Linked DNA regions of Drosophila melanogaster. The protein of the gene in region 4 interacts with the protein of the main gene of each other region in a pairwise test. Each region holds a gene or a part of one and is shown on either strand. Other genes may lie near its edges. The genes, in order: CG42329, CG10510, Sbp2 and bic.

The links.
Region 1: the proteins of bic (region 4) and CG42329 interact in a two-hybrid assay, tested with the Drosophila melanogaster proteins (one large-scale study listed by BioGRID).
Region 2: the proteins of bic (region 4) and CG10510 interact in a two-hybrid assay, tested with the Drosophila melanogaster proteins (one large-scale study listed by BioGRID).
Region 3: the proteins of bic (region 4) and Sbp2 interact in a two-hybrid assay, tested with the Drosophila melanogaster proteins (one large-scale study listed by BioGRID).

The regions. Positions count from the first base shown.
Region 1 is NT_033779.5:1,217,684-1,222,355, reverse strand, and holds the start of CG42329 (uncharacterized protein), read right to left. Parts: upstream 3,064-4,672; 5' UTR 2,994-3,063; coding exon 2,765-2,993; intron 2,700-2,764; coding exon 2,321-2,699; intron 1-2,320.
Region 2 is NT_037436.4:21,207,591-21,211,743, forward strand, and holds CG10510 (uncharacterized protein), read right to left. Parts: upstream 2,495-4,153; 5' UTR 2,405-2,494; coding exon 2,234-2,404; intron 2,084-2,233; coding exon 1,208-2,083; intron 1,153-1,207; coding exon 628-1,152; 3' UTR 558-627; downstream 1-557. Other genes in the region: CG10512 (uncharacterized protein), read left to right, coding at 1-4; CG10508 (uncharacterized protein), read left to right, coding at 3,141-3,214.
Region 3 is NT_037436.4:8,302,342-8,305,881, reverse strand, and holds Sbp2 (SECIS-binding protein 2), read right to left. Parts: upstream 1,726-3,540; 5' UTR 1,690-1,725; coding exon 1,196-1,689; intron 1,135-1,195; coding exon 914-1,134; intron 861-913; coding exon 634-860; 3' UTR 557-633; downstream 1-556. Other genes in the region: Gr66a (gustatory receptor 66a), read left to right, coding at 1-546; CG7194 (uncharacterized protein), read left to right, coding at 1,892-2,060, 2,392-3,263.
Region 4 is NT_033778.4:12,868,265-12,872,303, reverse strand, and holds bic (bicaudal), read right to left. Parts: upstream 2,056-4,039; 5' UTR 1,974-2,055; exon of another isoform or gene 1,902-1,973; coding exon 1,392-1,901; 3' UTR 510-1,391; downstream 1-509.

The DNA.
Region 1 (4,672 bases), on a different chromosome or scaffold from region 4:
CGTCGAATTCTGCTATTTTGGTTAGTTCTGTTGGGACTTCTATTATAATACTGTGTCTAACGCTGGTATTATGTAGTCTTTTACCAAATGAACTGAGAACTTTGAAGCATTGGACTTTATGTTCTTCAGTGAGTTTGCTTTTGTTTGTTACTATTAGGTTTTGTAATGTGTTGTATTGTGTTATCAATACCTTTATGTGAAAAATAAGCGTCTGAGTTTTGATCAGCGCGGTTTTATTAATACATTTATAGGATTTATCAAAAGCATCTCTAATACTGTTTATGGATATGGTTAAGTTTAGCCATTCCATGTATGTACCTTTTAGCGATGTAATCGCACTTGTACCTTTTTGGTGTAGTTTCTATTAGATTTTGTCTAAATCATTGGCTCGACTCATGTAAGTCTTTTCAACGATCTTTTGTGAAACTGATAAAGTTTTAAGGCCAGGTTAAAAGGCTGATAGGATAACTAAAATCAAAAATAGTAAGTACATTGAATTTAACTGTGGGGTTGTATCCACGACTTATGTCCCATTTTGATATGGGGAAAATTAGTCTTTATTTGTATATCAAAAGTACAAATAGAATTTTAACTTTGAGAATTGGTCAATTATTGTTATCTCGATCAGATATAAATATAGCTCGAAATTTTAATAGGTCTAAACTGTTGTTAAACATATTTTTACTTGATAGATGAATTCATTATACTCAGTTTACATCGGTTGCAATTTGCAATTTTACAATATTATTACTTATTTTAAGTTTAGGACTGAGTATAATGTGTTAGTTATGAAATGGGTCCCTGATAAGTTAGTAATTTTGTTGCAGCGGAAACCGCATCGACAACATTAATATAATATTTGGGCGGTTGAGGCTATGGCGTATAACGCAGCCCGCCGCTTTACTTCGCACCACGAAGTTGTTGATTGATGGCTGCAAGGCGCTCTTTGTAGCGCTGCCGGTCTTCCTCATTAGTTGCCGTCTTCAGTAGTTCGATGTTGAGCCTCCGGGCGCTGAGCAACTTAATCCGGCGGCCACCCCTCTTCTTTTTAGGTGGCTGCTCCCTCGCTGCAGTCCGTGCCTTGTACTCTTGTATGGTCAAGGGCTTTGGTCCCGCGGACGGATCTACCTCTATTACCTCTTTGATACTTGGCAGATCCCTTTGCTCGACAGGAGCAGGGTGTTCGAACGTCTGCTTGGTAGACATTCGCTGTTGTCATGTGCGGCGCGCCGGTGGAATCCTTTATCCTTTATCCTAATCCTACCCTCGCAGGATGCCGTGCTAATTGCTGTTGCGGCTTACAATGGTCGAGGGCAGTCTTTCATGCAGACGTCGGGTCTTTTCGGCTTGGGTGATGTTGAATTTTCAGTTATTTCTTCATTGATTATTTCTATTTTTGCTGAGTGAGTTGTGGTATTCGGCTTTCTTTGCTGGAGGTTTTCTTTCAGAAAGTCTAATTCGGCAGTTAATTTCTGTGCCGTTGCCCATGGGGGCGGTGTTTTATTTGTATATCATAGCCACTTAATATGTGCTATACCTTTATTTTTGATTTCCTGACATCCGCGTTTGCCCATTACCACACTCTACTCACTCAGTATTTTTGTTTCTTTTTTTTTCATCAGTGTCCCGTCTCTAGGTCTCCCGCACTGGTGTAAGGGGCGGCCTGCCTCTCACACCTGTTGTCGCTGTTTAGAATTCCCAAATCAAATCGGCAATATTAGCAGCATTTCCTCAGTAGTCCTCAGATCGCAGGCTCCTGCCTCACGGTCGCCATGTAATAAACCAATATATGCCACCAATTGAGAACACGTGTTTTCCTTGCAGTTGGGTGCAGCCGTCAGGCCACCTTTTTATTTCTTCTTATCTCTTCGAGTAGCAGAAACGGTTCTGCCCGCTTAACCTCTACAGAGTGTCTAATCTTACCTAAATACTGCGACTGCGCCGCCGTCGACAGCGGCAGAAGAGCAGCGTATATATATATGTATAAGAGAGAGAGAGAGAGAGCTTATGCGCATATATGGCCAGCGGCCAGCGTGGGGATGCTGACTTAGCTTAAAGCATAAATGGGTGATCTTATATCACGCTCACTTGAGACATTTATTTATGCAATGCAACTAAGTGTTGCTGTGTACTTATAGGTACAGTGTACCCTCGATATATGCACATACTACACTGGCACTTAAATTCGTTGGCATGCCAAACAAGTCTAAGCGCACACAACCTGTCTTTCCAGTGCTTATTGCGTAAGATATGAGCAAACAAAGGCTGGGAGATACGATCTATACCTGGAATACCCCATATCCCCCTTGATTTTACTCACACAGCAAGCCAGTCCAGTCCATTCATGGGATCTCTGTGCGCCAAAGAGCAGTCCTTTTCCTGCACCAATGTTGCTTCCGTCGAATTCTGCCCAAACATATCCTTCAGATGACCAGACATCCATCGACTGAGTTGGGCGGCACTGCAGGATGAGGGTATGCAGGTTCCAATACTCAAGGTGAGGGCATCTGCGCCGGCGGCTTCCATGAGCAAACTCTCGAACTGCATACGACTCAAGCAATACTTGGCTCCGGCATTGATGGTCATGACATTGCCCAGACTCTTGCTGAGATCCAAGCTGAGGCAGGATTCGTAGTTGCCCATGTCCATAAAGTGGCCGTAGAGCAGTCCTTGCGGGAACTTTCCCCAGGCATCGAAAACTGTAAGACACGGACACGGAAGGTCAGTATATAAAGTATATCCACATCGGTTGCCATCAACCGACCTCGAAGAGCAGGCAAGGATTTGGCCTCTGCTCCCGTGAGGAGGAGGCGAACCTCCGCCAGGCAAGATGCCTCGGCAGCAGATGAGGATTGGTTGTCATTCAAGGCCTGCTGGAGCACCTGGTAGCCGAAGTTGCTGGACTGCATCCAAGTCAACAGGTCCTTGGAGCTGTACGTCTGGGCAGTGGTTAGTACTCCCACCCCCATGATCCCGATCAAGGCCACGATCATCTTGGTCGGGATGAAGAGCGATGAGCTCGCGCTGCTTAGTTGCCTGAATACCATTGCTGTGTGCGACGGCCATGACGCTGCGAGTGATATTTATACCGGGCTAGTAAGAGTCTTACTCCGGCCCACGAGCCGTCTGATATGGCTAACACATATTTCTAATCACCTGAGGAGCTCTCTTGACTGCAGTAGTTAGTCGCTCGGTCGTGCAGTGGGAACTTTTTGATAACCCGTGGGCCATGTGCCATTAGGTTTATCTCGCACCCTTATGCAGGGTAGCAGGTGGGTCTATCCACCTCACTTTTGCGATATCTCAGCAGCGTGCGAGCAACGATCATTGTGACGATCGCCTATAAATCGGTTCAATGACCGATATAGCAGCCGAATTAGATTCAATGCCACACATGGGGATGTCCGTTGCGCTGCCGATGACGCTGAGTAAAAACTATTAACTGTCAGGCATAACTGCAGCATCACGCAATCAGTAGAGTGTATCCCCGGGGAAACACCTGGCCCATCGACGGGTTAAAACTCGGGCAACAATTACGTCAGTTTGTTTTATATTTCACAAATGGGTCAGCGACCGATAGTGACTTCTGGCGAACAGATCCACCGGCGATACTGGGCCACTACTGATAGTCTCAATAAATTCGTCACTAGCTCGCTAAATCGGTTGAGTGATTTGAAGTGGCTCACCTTGGCCAGTAGATTTGCCCACTTGTAATAGTTCGGCGGTTCATGGCTGGGTTATTGAACCCGCTGCCCTTGGAAAGGGCGATACTACCGAGCTAAGGCAGCTCGGTCCATCTGGCGTCGTTACTATTGCGCAATAATAGTCGCATTAATCAATATGCGATTCAAAACTTAATGTATTGCTAGTCAGTCAAAAAAGTGTGGGTATTCCCAGGCGTGAATAAACAAATAAGACAAAAAAATCGAGAGTGGGGCGAAATACTTTCTCCGCTGGATCTCCGAATGCTCTTGTCACGCATTTTGCCAAAAATATGTTTCACGCAGAGTATGGAATAAATGATACCTATTGGTGATTATAAATATTTTAATATAAAGTGTGTTATTGTATGGCAACTTGTAACCACACATTTTTGTTTACAATTATTATCTGAGCCAACGAACCAGTTAGTTGATCAAATTTTGTGAAATCATCAACTCTGCATTGGTTCCATTACTCATCAAATACAAACAGTAGAAAATAATCACTTTTTTGTTGCTTTCTGAGATTATTACAAGTGGCTCTTGATAAGTGTTTACAAACATTACTATAACTACAATACACCCGTTTACTCAATGAGTTCCGTGTGAGCTACACATACATACAGATGTGTAATTATTTAAAAAGTTGACTGGGAGAGCTTTACTCATGCCGAAACATACGTGAATTTTGAGTGGTGTGTGAATAAAGATTAGGGTGGACCGTGTTCGTGTGAAATTAATTAGGTGTTTTTCATCCAGAGAAACATATACTACCCCAAACTAAATGGTTTTCTACATCTCACAGTTTATTTACCTTGTCTTTCGGATTTAAATACAATTTGTAACCTAATTCCGTTCGCTCACACAAACTTTCGAATCGCTTTCCCAATCACTTGAACTGGATTATCAGAACATTAAAAATTTAATTAAATTTCCCTATCAGCACGTGTAATTAAGGCAACTTCAGTTGG
Region 2 (4,153 bases), on a different chromosome or scaffold from region 4:
TTAAACTCGAAAGAACTGGTGGACTTACACTAGGGAGTCAAGCATACCCATTGCCATATGTTGAAGACGCCTCTGCATTTTGATGGACCAAAGCACTACAGTAACACTTTACACTGAGAGAAATATTGATATTTGCAACAGTTAGATTAGATTGCACTGGTGCTGAACTAAAGCTAGTTACATATCTCCATGTTGCACTTAAAACATATTTCTAGTCTCCTAAGAGTCTGTCGTTGCTCCTATTATTTAGTTTTTAACTACGCAAGCTTTCTTATTAACTAAAAACATGAGCTTCGGCATTCTTTTAGGGAATTAGCAATATTTAGTAGAGTAAAGACTTGCAGTTTGCAAAATAATATACATAAGTAGAAGTACAGCTAAATTTCTGTTTAAAACAAAAACTATCTGTTTTAAAATATATTGATTTTGGCACTTTGAGATACCCATGCTGTGTTCAGCAATTTCAAAACTATTAAAATAAACAATATACTCTTCGATAATCAAATATTTGTCTTTATAGCATTTTTTCTTGCGATTGCAAACAAGGTAAATATATTAATTTAACTATTATTCAATTTAATTGAGCTCATTTTTATATTTAAACATAACTTTGAATGCCACATATTTTCAAAAGTCCAGAATCACCTCATTCAAAGTGGCTTCGGCCTCCCACTTGGCCTCCTTGTGTGCCGTCGGTGAATGCACGACCTTTCTGGACTTGAATTCCTGGCACTTTGTCTCGAAAAGTTTGGGTGGCATGGGTTGAGTTGGCGATGAAACATGCATGGCGGTTCGCAGCTCTTCCGGATCCTCGGTGACACTCATGGATTTGATAAAGTCGATCAGGCGCTGATTGTCCTCAGTGAGGCGACGCTTCTCCTCCAGCATCAGCAGGTTTTGAGCTTCGGCCATCGCCTGGCGGCGCCAGAAGTTCCTGAGACTTTTGTTTAGCTCCACGAGTTCCTCCTCGGTCATGTCCACGTGATCTTTCAGGTTGAGAGTCTGCAGCTTGAAGTATTCATCGACATCCACCTCGGTTTCGTCGAATACCTCGCCGCCGAGGATTACCTTTTCCGATTCGGTTTGCAGTTTCCTGCAAGTGATCGACAGGGCCAAGAGTAATTCCCCACTTTTCACGTGCTTCTCCATTTGCTGGAATAATATTTCAATTTAGAAATGGGTAATAGGGCTTGGGACAAAGGTTCACCTTGGTCAACTCGTAGCACTCGCCGGTCAGGATGCGCAACTTCTCGTGCGTGATCTCGCGATCCATCTCCTGGTTGAGCTCAATCTTCTTGCGCACGTTGGTGAAGTACTGGAACTCCAGGCGAAGATCGTTGAGCGTGGAGTTGTTCTCCGCATCCATGCGAACCATTTCGCGCTGCAGTTCCGCCTGCATGTTGATGTACTTGGACTCCTCGGCGTTTAGCTTGCGTGACTCCTCCATGAAAGCCGCCTGCCGCTCCGTCAGCCAGTGGATCTTCTCGTACTTGTGGGCATCCAGTTCGGTGCTCCTCAGCGACTCCACGAAGTCGTTCAGTTGCTGCTGCATGTGCGTCATCCGGCGGACAATCTGATCTCGAATCTTAAATCTGTTCTCAATCTCCGTATTCACGCGATCGTCGCGCTGCTCCAGGTAGATAGTGTAATCCTCCTTCAGCTGATCCCGGGTGGTGATGTTGGTGGCATGGATTATGTTCTCGGAGTTCGTTTTCATGGCTTCCACCTCTTCGGTGCGCCGGCGCACCTCTTCATAGTAATCCCTCAGCATCTCGTCAGCCTGCTGGTCATACATGCTCTTCACCCCGCCCAACATCACGTGGAAGCAGTCGCGAATGTGATCAATCAGCTCCACCGTTTTGCTGTAGCAACGCACGTGCTGATCCTGCGTCTGCGCCATGTCGTCCAGAAGCATCTTGATGTGGTCGTTCTTGGCCTGAATGTTACGTTCCGAGCGCTCGCCCCAAGCCCTCATCTCCTCGTTTAGCTCCTTGATCTTGATTTCGCGGCACATCTCGTGCCACTCCTCGTTGCCTTTCTCCTCCATATGCTTGCCCATCTCCAGCTCGCGCATCAGGGCATCCTGAGAGGATCATGGCGCAACATTAGAAATGATGCGTTTACAATTTTAATATAGTCTTAATATATTATTTTTATTATAAAAATTAATAATATTAAGGATTTGCTTAGGTTCATCCTTAATAAAAACTCTGCGAAAGTTAGTTGAACCCACCCGCATGATGAGCCGCTTCTCCTCGATCATAGCCAGTCGCTTGGCCTCTTTCTTGGCGGCCTTCTTCTGAGCCTTGGTTAGTTTGGGCGGTCCTTGTGGCTCCGGCTCCTCCTCCAGTTCTTGGAGGTAGTTTTCCGAAACACGCGTCAAGCGTGCCAAGATTTCGGCCATTTTGCCGATGTGTAGTTGTAGCTGAACTAAATGCGTAAATCAAAGGTGAAATTTTTGGAAAATTGACGGGGGAGCTAAATTCGAATTGTGTGCCTGTTTGAAAGCTGAATCGAAGTTTGGCGCACAGCTTTCGACGGGCAAATTCCAACACTGGATACCAGCTTTTTTAACGACTATTCGCACAGCATCTGAAGCTTTAACGCCCGCCACTGATTTCCTCAGTTGACTCTCAAAGCTTGGCTCGCGAGGTTGTTTATAGCGTCGCGACTCCAGGATTCCCCAAAAACGATTCCTTTCCGGGTAGCTAAAGCCTGGCTGGCTTGCTTACTAACGGCACGCCACATCGAACTGTGTGTGTGTGAGCGTGTGTATCTGTGTGTTGCGGTCCTTTTTCCCGGCAGGCAGTGCCTTGTAAACAAAAATAACTCTGCTGCCGAGGAGAGGTTGCCATCGAGGGTGGTTACAACCCCCAAATCTGAAACATCCGACGACAAAGGCAACTACAAAGCTCCGCGCAGGATAAGTGGCAAGGGCACTCCTGCCTGCCAACTTTTCGGGGTTGCAGACAGTCGGCAAACAAGCTGCGAATGCGACTTTAAACGTCCATAAACATTCAGGCAGAAAACGAAAATAATAAAACGACGGTCGTTCGGTTTAACTGGGCATCGAAGCGCCTCGCATCTGCAAGTGCAATTGTTACTGTATCTGCATCTGTATCTATTCGTGAGCGGTGAAAATGAGCGAATCCGGTGGCTATCAGAAAATGCCGCCCGGCTGGGACTGCAAATACGATCAAGCAACTGGAAATTGGTGAGTTGCATGTGCACAGCCCGACGTCATAAATATTTATGCATCCATTAACCACAATGTCGTGAAATGCGGACTGTACTGGGAGATGTGGTGGCCAGTTGTGGGATATAGGGGTTCCATTTGATAGGTTGCCACGGGGGCAACTGATAAATTTGCGTGCCAACGTCGCTTGGGGTGGCTCTTTCGGTGGGCGAAGGATTATGGTTGGGTGTGTGGTTGTGGGTGTATGTAGGGGGCCTTGGGGGCGTAAGTCGCTTACTTTAAAATGATTGGGTGGTAGGCGTCCGGTTGAGGTGGTGTTTGCCATGTTTGGCCTTATAGTGATAAGGAAATTATTCGTTAGTTCGGTGGCTTGCAGAACTTAGTTTTGAAACACCTTTGGTATTTAAACTCTTAGGACGCAAGCTCGGTACTAATTTAAATTATTCATTTAACACACAATGGAACGAAGTACAAGCTTGGATTGGATATTGGCTAACTTTTCTTCAGCTTATAATCGAAAGAACTTTCTAACATAAAATTTTCAAAATGTTTTATGTTTGAAGAAAATGTTTTAATTTAAATTTAAATTATTATTACTGATACGCAAAACAATTTTACTGAACTCTAAAGACCCAGCGTGTGGGTACCATGTGGTTCCCTATGGGCTACTTAGCTTAGTGCTCCTTAGCCACTCCAATTGGCCTCGTTTCAGCGGCATAAATTGTGTCACTTCCGCGTCGTCGGATGCCAGCGGGGTCTTTAACATCTCCTTAGCCTATCATACATATATACATATAACTTAACCCCTTATGCTTAAAAAGCCATGTGCAATTAAGCAACATACGTTGTCATACGTTAATTCAAGAGGCCACTCAACCGAAGACGAGCTTTCCATCCTCACGACGTCCTCGTCGACATCCACCCTCTCCATTCCGAAAATCAGAGCAGAGATGGCCT
Region 3 (3,540 bases), on a different chromosome or scaffold from region 4:
CTATCTCTAATGGCCTATGGTTTTCTGATTTTCACTGCTCAACTTTATTTCCTCTACTGCGCTACACAGTACCAATCGATACCATCGCTTTTCCGTTCCGCCAAGAATCCCTTCATCACTGTTATAGTTCTAAGTTATACGTCTGGAAAATGCGTGTACCTCATCTACCTGAGTTGGAAAACGTCGCAGGCCTCCAAGCGCACAGGAATCAGTCTGCACAAATGTGGCGTGGTGGCCGATGATAATCTTCTCTACGAAATTGTTAACCACCTATCGCTAAAATTGCTCAACCACTCGGTGGACTTTTCGGCTTGCGGCTTCTTTACCCTGGACATGGAAACATTGTATGGTGTGAGTGGCGGGATCACTAGCTACCTGATCATCCTGATTCAGTTCAATTTGGCCGCCCAGCAGGCCAAAGAGGCTATACAGACGTTCAACTCGCTTAATGACACCGCCGGCTTGGTTGGTGCCGCCACCGATATGGATAATATTAGCTCCACGCTGCGTGATTTCGTCACCACGACCATGACACCGGCGGTCTAAACTTTGTTTTCTTGAATGTTTTATTCGATGTTTCGAGCACGTCCTCCTGGCACTTTTACTTATATTTATTTGTCACGAAATAAACTCTCACGAAGCAGTTCTGCGTTTGTACTCCGCACGGGCATCCTCTATTTCATTAAGAAGATCTGCGTAGGTTGCATTCGCTCCGTCAAAGTCAAGGATAGCAACGCAACAAATTTGCGCTCGCTTTTGGAGGGCATAAGAAAGCTCCCTTCTCAGCAGAGGAAAGCAATAGGGCACTTGTTGCTGCTGGCATTGGAATTTCAAGCCTTCTATAGTCGCATCTAGACCACCTTTTTAAGCGGATATTATTAATGGCTGATTTGCGAACAATTCGATTACTCACTTTCGCCGGGGCAGATTTCGCAGTCAGTGGCCAGGAACAACAATTTCACCTTGTTTATCCTTAGCCTCGCCAGAGCTTCTCGAACACCCAAAACCAGGCGGGGATGTGCACGCGCTTTAATCTCGTTTTTGGCAAAGGCGCGCTTCTGAAATCGATCCAGGTCCCTTAACAACTGAGTGGACAACTCCTTGAGGCGAGGACGGGTGCAGTTGTCACAATAGCTGGAAGAGATCAAACATGATATTTCAACGTTTAAAGAAGGTACAACCAGTGTAATCAAACCTTCTAAATCGCCGTGAGTGAATGGCATGTACTGTTTTTGCTTGTGAAGGGTTGTTGGGTGCAGGGGTTTTACTAAGTGATAGGTTTTGAACTTGTTGCTCCAGCGGAATAGCATTCGGATTGATATCTTGACCAACTACTGGGACTCCTTCAAGATCATTCTCTGCGACTTCTCTCTCCGCCTTCTTTGAAGTGCGATATACACGTACGGACTTCTTCAACCTGGTGATCTTCTTCTTGGGATCAAGGCGGGTTTTGCCCTTGGGTTTGTAAACTATGTAGCTACCTCTTGTTATGGCTAAATGTGTCTTTTGAAGTTTATGTGCCTTTGTTTGCCTTTGTGTTTTTGGTCTCGGCTTGATGACAAAGTCCAGAAGAGAGGTTTGCTGCTCCCGTTTCCTGTGCTGGTTTTTGTACTTGGAGCTGCGTGGAGTAATCTTGATCGCTGTATCCTGGACATCCTGATTCCTGCTCCTCCTTATTTTTTCAGTCATTTATTGTGGATTCTTAGTGCATCTCTAAAATAGTGTTGGTCGTCGCGGTAAATGGTGAAATCGCTTTTTCACCACACATGAATGCGAAGAATCAGCGCGGTACAACAACGTAATTAATAAAATCAAGAACCGCAGCAAATGCGGCCTCATTCGTTCCTAAAAGTTTTGATTTGGAAGTTCAACGTTAGGCTTCTGTGAAAAAATGAGTACCGCTAATCATTTTCAAAGAATTCTTGAGAAATTGTCAATCTCTGACAATGAAAGGGCCGTATATACCAAGGAAGCCGAGGAAATTCAAAACTATGTAGTTGACGAACTTAAGCGGGTAGACAAAACCTTTCGCCAGGTATTCGACGGACTCAGTCTTGGAGGTAAGTTATTTAATTTTAAATATCTACATATATTCTACATATATTCTACATATATTTCTATATAAAAACAAAACAAATAAATAGAATAATGTTAGTTACAAGACATTGTCTGGTCGATTTTCTAATGCATTCAATATTATTTTTAATAAAAGTGTAAATTGACGGAAGTAATACAAATGTAAGTCGAGATAATCCAACGCTATACAATTACAATTGATATCTCTTGCTTTATTTTGTTTTATCATTTTTGCAAGAAATGTTGTACTTTCGTAAATTCATCGTTATGTATGTACATTATGTACCTAAAAATATATGTACACGTATCTTTTAGGAAGTTACTTGGATCGCGTCAAGCTAAATTTGCCCGATGAATTTGATCTGCACATGAAACTAAAGTTTCCATTTGATATCCGACCGACTCGGATCGACCAAGGGTTTATTTATTTAGAGGCTGATCTCACCGTAATCAATCCCCAACGCATCCATCGTATTGTACTTCAAGACTGGCTACGCAATGCATTCCGCAAGGTATTCAGGTCTAATCAGACAATTGCCACTACCAGTAATCGAGTCTACAAATTAACCTATACTCTTGAGGGGTATGGTTGTGCCCATACCATTTTAGCCGTTTGTGGTAGTCGCTCGATATCTTTTGATTTGGTACCAGCATTCGAATTCTCTGGAAGCCAATGGCCGTTTGATATTTGCCCGGTTCCTGCTGATGTTAGCAATAATTGGCCATGGTTCGCCATTCCGCAACAGAAGAAGAAGTCGGCTAAACCGAGAACCACATTCATGGTTTGTGCACCACATTGGGAGCGCGAAATTATGAAGGGCAAGGATAATTTGAAGAACGTTCTACGGCTGATGAAAGGATTGCGGGATGCCCACGCCAGGAAATTGCCTCACTTGTCCAGCTACATGTTGAAAACAGTTTTGCTTCATCGCCTCGAAAGTGCTGACTGGGAAAGAGACCTGGGCACCCTATTGGTTGAGATGTGGAGTCATTTGGTGGATCATCTACGCGCTCGTAGACTGGAGTTCTTTTTGGCTAAGGATCATAATGTATTCAATCGTATGAATCAAAATGAAATCAAGATATGTCTAGAAAACGCAAGCACTCTGCTAAGAAAGCTTTGTATTGCTCAGACATGCGGTGGTAGCTACCATCATGTGGCCCAACTATTCAATATTCCAAATTAAGAAGAATTTAATTTCAAAACAATACCGAGCCTTTTTCATGCCATTTGCAGAAAGGAAAAAGCGTACATGCACACATTTGGCTCATTCACAAGGGCGCAGAACAAATATTCGATTATATCCGAGGCTGAATAAGCACATATCTTGCTGAGTAACAGAACTTTAGTGGAAGAAAAAAGAAGTTGAATCAAAAGTCATTTCGGCCGCACATTTGATTGTTTACATTGTCCCTGAACTTTGTTTAAAAATAAAGCTACGAAAAAAAATTGATTTACCCTTT
Region 4 (4,039 bases):
TCCGTTATAGGTCGTCGAAATGTGATAAGAAGCCGCAATCGCTTGTTTATGTACAAATGAGTGGAAACTTCAAGAAACATTCCGGTTGAACTGGCCTAATCGCAATTTTAAGCCAATTTAAACGTGACTCATTTCGAAGATTTCCGACCAAAAACCATATACATATTTATATATATACATATGTGCATGTACCGCATGCTACGACTCCCAACTTTGGATTTGGACACATAATTTGGAAGTTGCGTACGGGTCATAGTTCCTGCCGAAGGAGCCTTCTGACCATCTGGATTTTAGACGTACCATACCAAATGTCAACAAGTTTTCGACTGCCGCGTGCTTTGCGCCACACCTCCCACTACCCCTTTCCCATCACCTCGAAAACCTCACACAAGAGCGTTGCTATGCATACACACACAGGCCCACACTCACACACATGTCGATTATGCAAGCAAAGAAAAAAATAGGCATTAAACTAAAAAAAAAATGCTGGAAATATGAATGGGTCGTATGGTTTTTACAGCTCATTTAATGTTATGCATGGTAATGATGGTCTAAAACAATAGTTTACAAATTATAAGCTATGCTTTCAACAATTTGGGCACATTGTTCTCGAATCGAAATTGTGGCCTCAGCTTGTTTTCGTTTTCAATTGAGGATTCCTTGAGGGCGGGGTTACATCGAAAAGTCGGAAATTGGGGAAAATCGGTAAGAGCTAGTAGTGCTAAAAATATATTTCTCTGTCCTCGCGACCTGGCAATGAATTCATCTGGAGTGTCTGCGTTGTTCCCCTAATCACCTCGTCACAATTCTTCCGAAAACCGTATCGTATATATATAGTATATAGTGTTTTATGACAGCGCATATATCTATAGATACATCTGTGTGTGTTGTTCTTGGGAGGGCGGCAAAAATTAGAATGTGTGTGTTGTTTAGACTGTGGTTTTTTTTGGTTAAGGAAACGTTCTTTAATCGCTTTGGAAAATACATTTGACTGTTCCAAACTAGTACAATTAGATTAAGATTGAAGGGTTCCCTTAGTATGTTAAGTATAGTTATTATGCTTATGTGTTCTGTTCAGCGCTCACTCGGATGCCTTTATTTTTGTATTTTAGTATAGTGTGTAGCATGACCCCCAAAAAAGTGGCTGGAGGGAGCACGAAGAATGGCCCATTCAGGGCAGAAGCGCTGGTTGCAGTCCGGAGTGGATCCGTTTCCGATTTGGAACCGGAATGGGTAAGTGGTAGATGTGTTTCCGGCGTGTCTGGTGTGTGGGTTCTGCCCTGTATGCCAGCCACTTCGTCTTGCTCCCTGGCCCCGTATGTTTTGTATGTATGTTTTTGTGTTCGGTGTGTGGTGGTGTGATTTGCCCGGGTGGGCGGGGTTGGACCAGCCTAAGCGGAGGCCGCCACCTCACCGGACTTCTCCTCCTTTGTGTCGGCGATGGCCACCTCCTCGAAGTTCTCGACCAGATCGGGCACATCATCGTCACCGGCATCGGCGGCTGAAGAGCCGGCTGCTCCGCCGGCGCCGCTCTTGCTGGCAATCTCCGTGGCCAGCTTCTTCAGCTGGTTGATGTCCTGGGGACCCAGTTGCGTCAGAATGCCGGGCACCATCTCGGTGATCGTCTTGTTCTCGCCATGACCCGTGATGGCAAACGTGTTCGTCGGCAGCGAGGCCTGGGCCTTCGGATTGTTGAAGTGGATGACGGTGCCATCGTTCTTGATGATGTTCACCTCCTCGATGCCGGGAATTGTGTTTACCGACAGCTTCTTGAGCGACGACTGCAGCTTCTTGTCGTCGGTGGCGGGCGTGGAGTGGACGATCTTCTTCTTGCGGCGAGGGGTGCCCTTGCCGCCAATGCGCACCTGCGCCTGCAACTTCTTCAGCTTTTCCGCGTTCATCTGTTCAATTGAGTACACACAATGGTCGCATCAGTAAAACGCCAATCGAATGCCGCACTTTCCACTACTCACTTTGATTTTACTAGAATTTAGCACAGAGCCTTGCCAGAAAACACGTGCGCCCAGTCGTAGTCAAATGTCAAAAAGAAATCGCCATGATAAAAATGGCAAAAGGTGTATGTATATGTGAGTAGTACTGGTAGGAAGTACTAAACGTGAGTGTTGACTATCGATAGCTCACAAGGTGGCAACCAAAGCGCGCCAAAGAAATTTAAAAATTCTATTGTTTATATAATTTATACATTATTTTTGAAGTAATACGTTTTCTGAATTTTGAATGAATTTTTAGTTTTGAATATATTCAAATTTTTAGTAGTATATGGTGGGAAAGTAAATCTACTCAGGGCATAAATCTCAATTTAATCGATTTACTTTATTTTCATCGCTTTCAACCACATATATAAGTAAATATGTTTAAAAATTTGCTATATAAAATTAAAAATAAACGTGGTAAGAAAAAAAACCAATTTACTAAACATTTGGAATGTTAATAAACATAATTATGAGCCATCATAAACCCAGCAATAAAGTTTTAAACACAATTAAACCAGATGTAATGTTTGAATTAATTAATTCTTATATTTTCTATTCCAATAGTATCGATTGCTTTGTTGAGTTCGATAGCTATCGTTGGCTTGCATCGACTACTCACTAAACTCAGCAGTCAGTGCTGCATAACGTCATCATTATGATAAATTGTAATGTTTTAAAAAATATCTATACAAAATATACAAGCTTAGTATAACAAACTCAATTTAGTAAATATTTGGAACGCAAATAAATAAAATTATGAGCCATTATATACCTTGCAATAAAGTTTTAAACACAATTAAATCAGATGTTATGTTTGAATTATCGATTGCTGTGTTGAGTGCGCTAGCTATCGCCGCTTTACATCGACTGCTCACTAAACATAGCCAGCGCAGTCAGTGCTGCATAACGTGCACCCATTATCATCATGATAAATTGTATTACTTTCAGATTAACGCTGATAAGATATAGTTAATTCCAATCGGGCTTCAATAACGACCTTCCGGTAGAGTAGTTCACTGATATTTAAGTGAATTATACGGGTGCTGCCAAAAAGCGGATAAATCCGATAAATAGGCAGTGCATTCCCTGCAACAAGTGGAATTTTCGACTTTAAATACAGATATTAACAAAGGGAAATAACCGCTAAATCCTTGTCAAACGTAAGTATTTCACGACGTCTTATCGACTATGAAACGAGCTTTTAAACACATTAACTTCTTCCGCAGTGGACGACTTTGAGTTGGACGATATAGACGATTTCGCCATGGATTTCTGGGGCATTTTCATGTTCTTTCTGCTCACCTTCCTCATCATGAGTTGCTGCGGATATTGCTGCACCAGCAGACGCCAAGGTGCCGTTCTGTCCAGTGAGTAACTGTATAAAATATATGTAGAAGTATTAGCCTATAAGCCATTAATCAAATAAAAACTCCCCGATGAGTCATTCAGAAAGACAAAGCAGCCGGAGTTTAGCTCAAAAGATGAGTTTTATGAGTGAGCGAGTGTGTGTAAGAGTATATAAAATCCTATTCGTGTTAAGAAGTGATAATAACAATTATATTTAGTCGATATACATATTTATAGAGAGAGAGAGACAGATCTGAATAATGGGAGAGAGCTTTTGGCTTGTTTGGTTTTTTTCTTTTGCCTCTCCACCGATTCGTAAACAACATTAAGTATGCTCAGCAATAAGCGGAACTTACTTTATCAGCAAGGGCCAAAGTAATTGTCTATTTATGTATGTTTATTTATATGGCCGTATCTTATCTGAAACAAGTGAATAGTCTGTTGTCCCTTTCTGGCCAGGATTTTACCAGTTTTTATCCATAATATAATAATTGCTATAATGTTAGCAATTTTAGTATAACAACAATATAATTTAAATTGTTTAAAATGACTCATCCTCAGTAGCGCTTCGATAAGGAATTGATTCATTTTTATAGATAAGAACGACTGACAATTGTATCCACATGCCACAGCTAAATACATGCATGCAGTATACCTCGAACTTTTAGACCAAACGGCTCGTTGGAAAAAAGTATCTT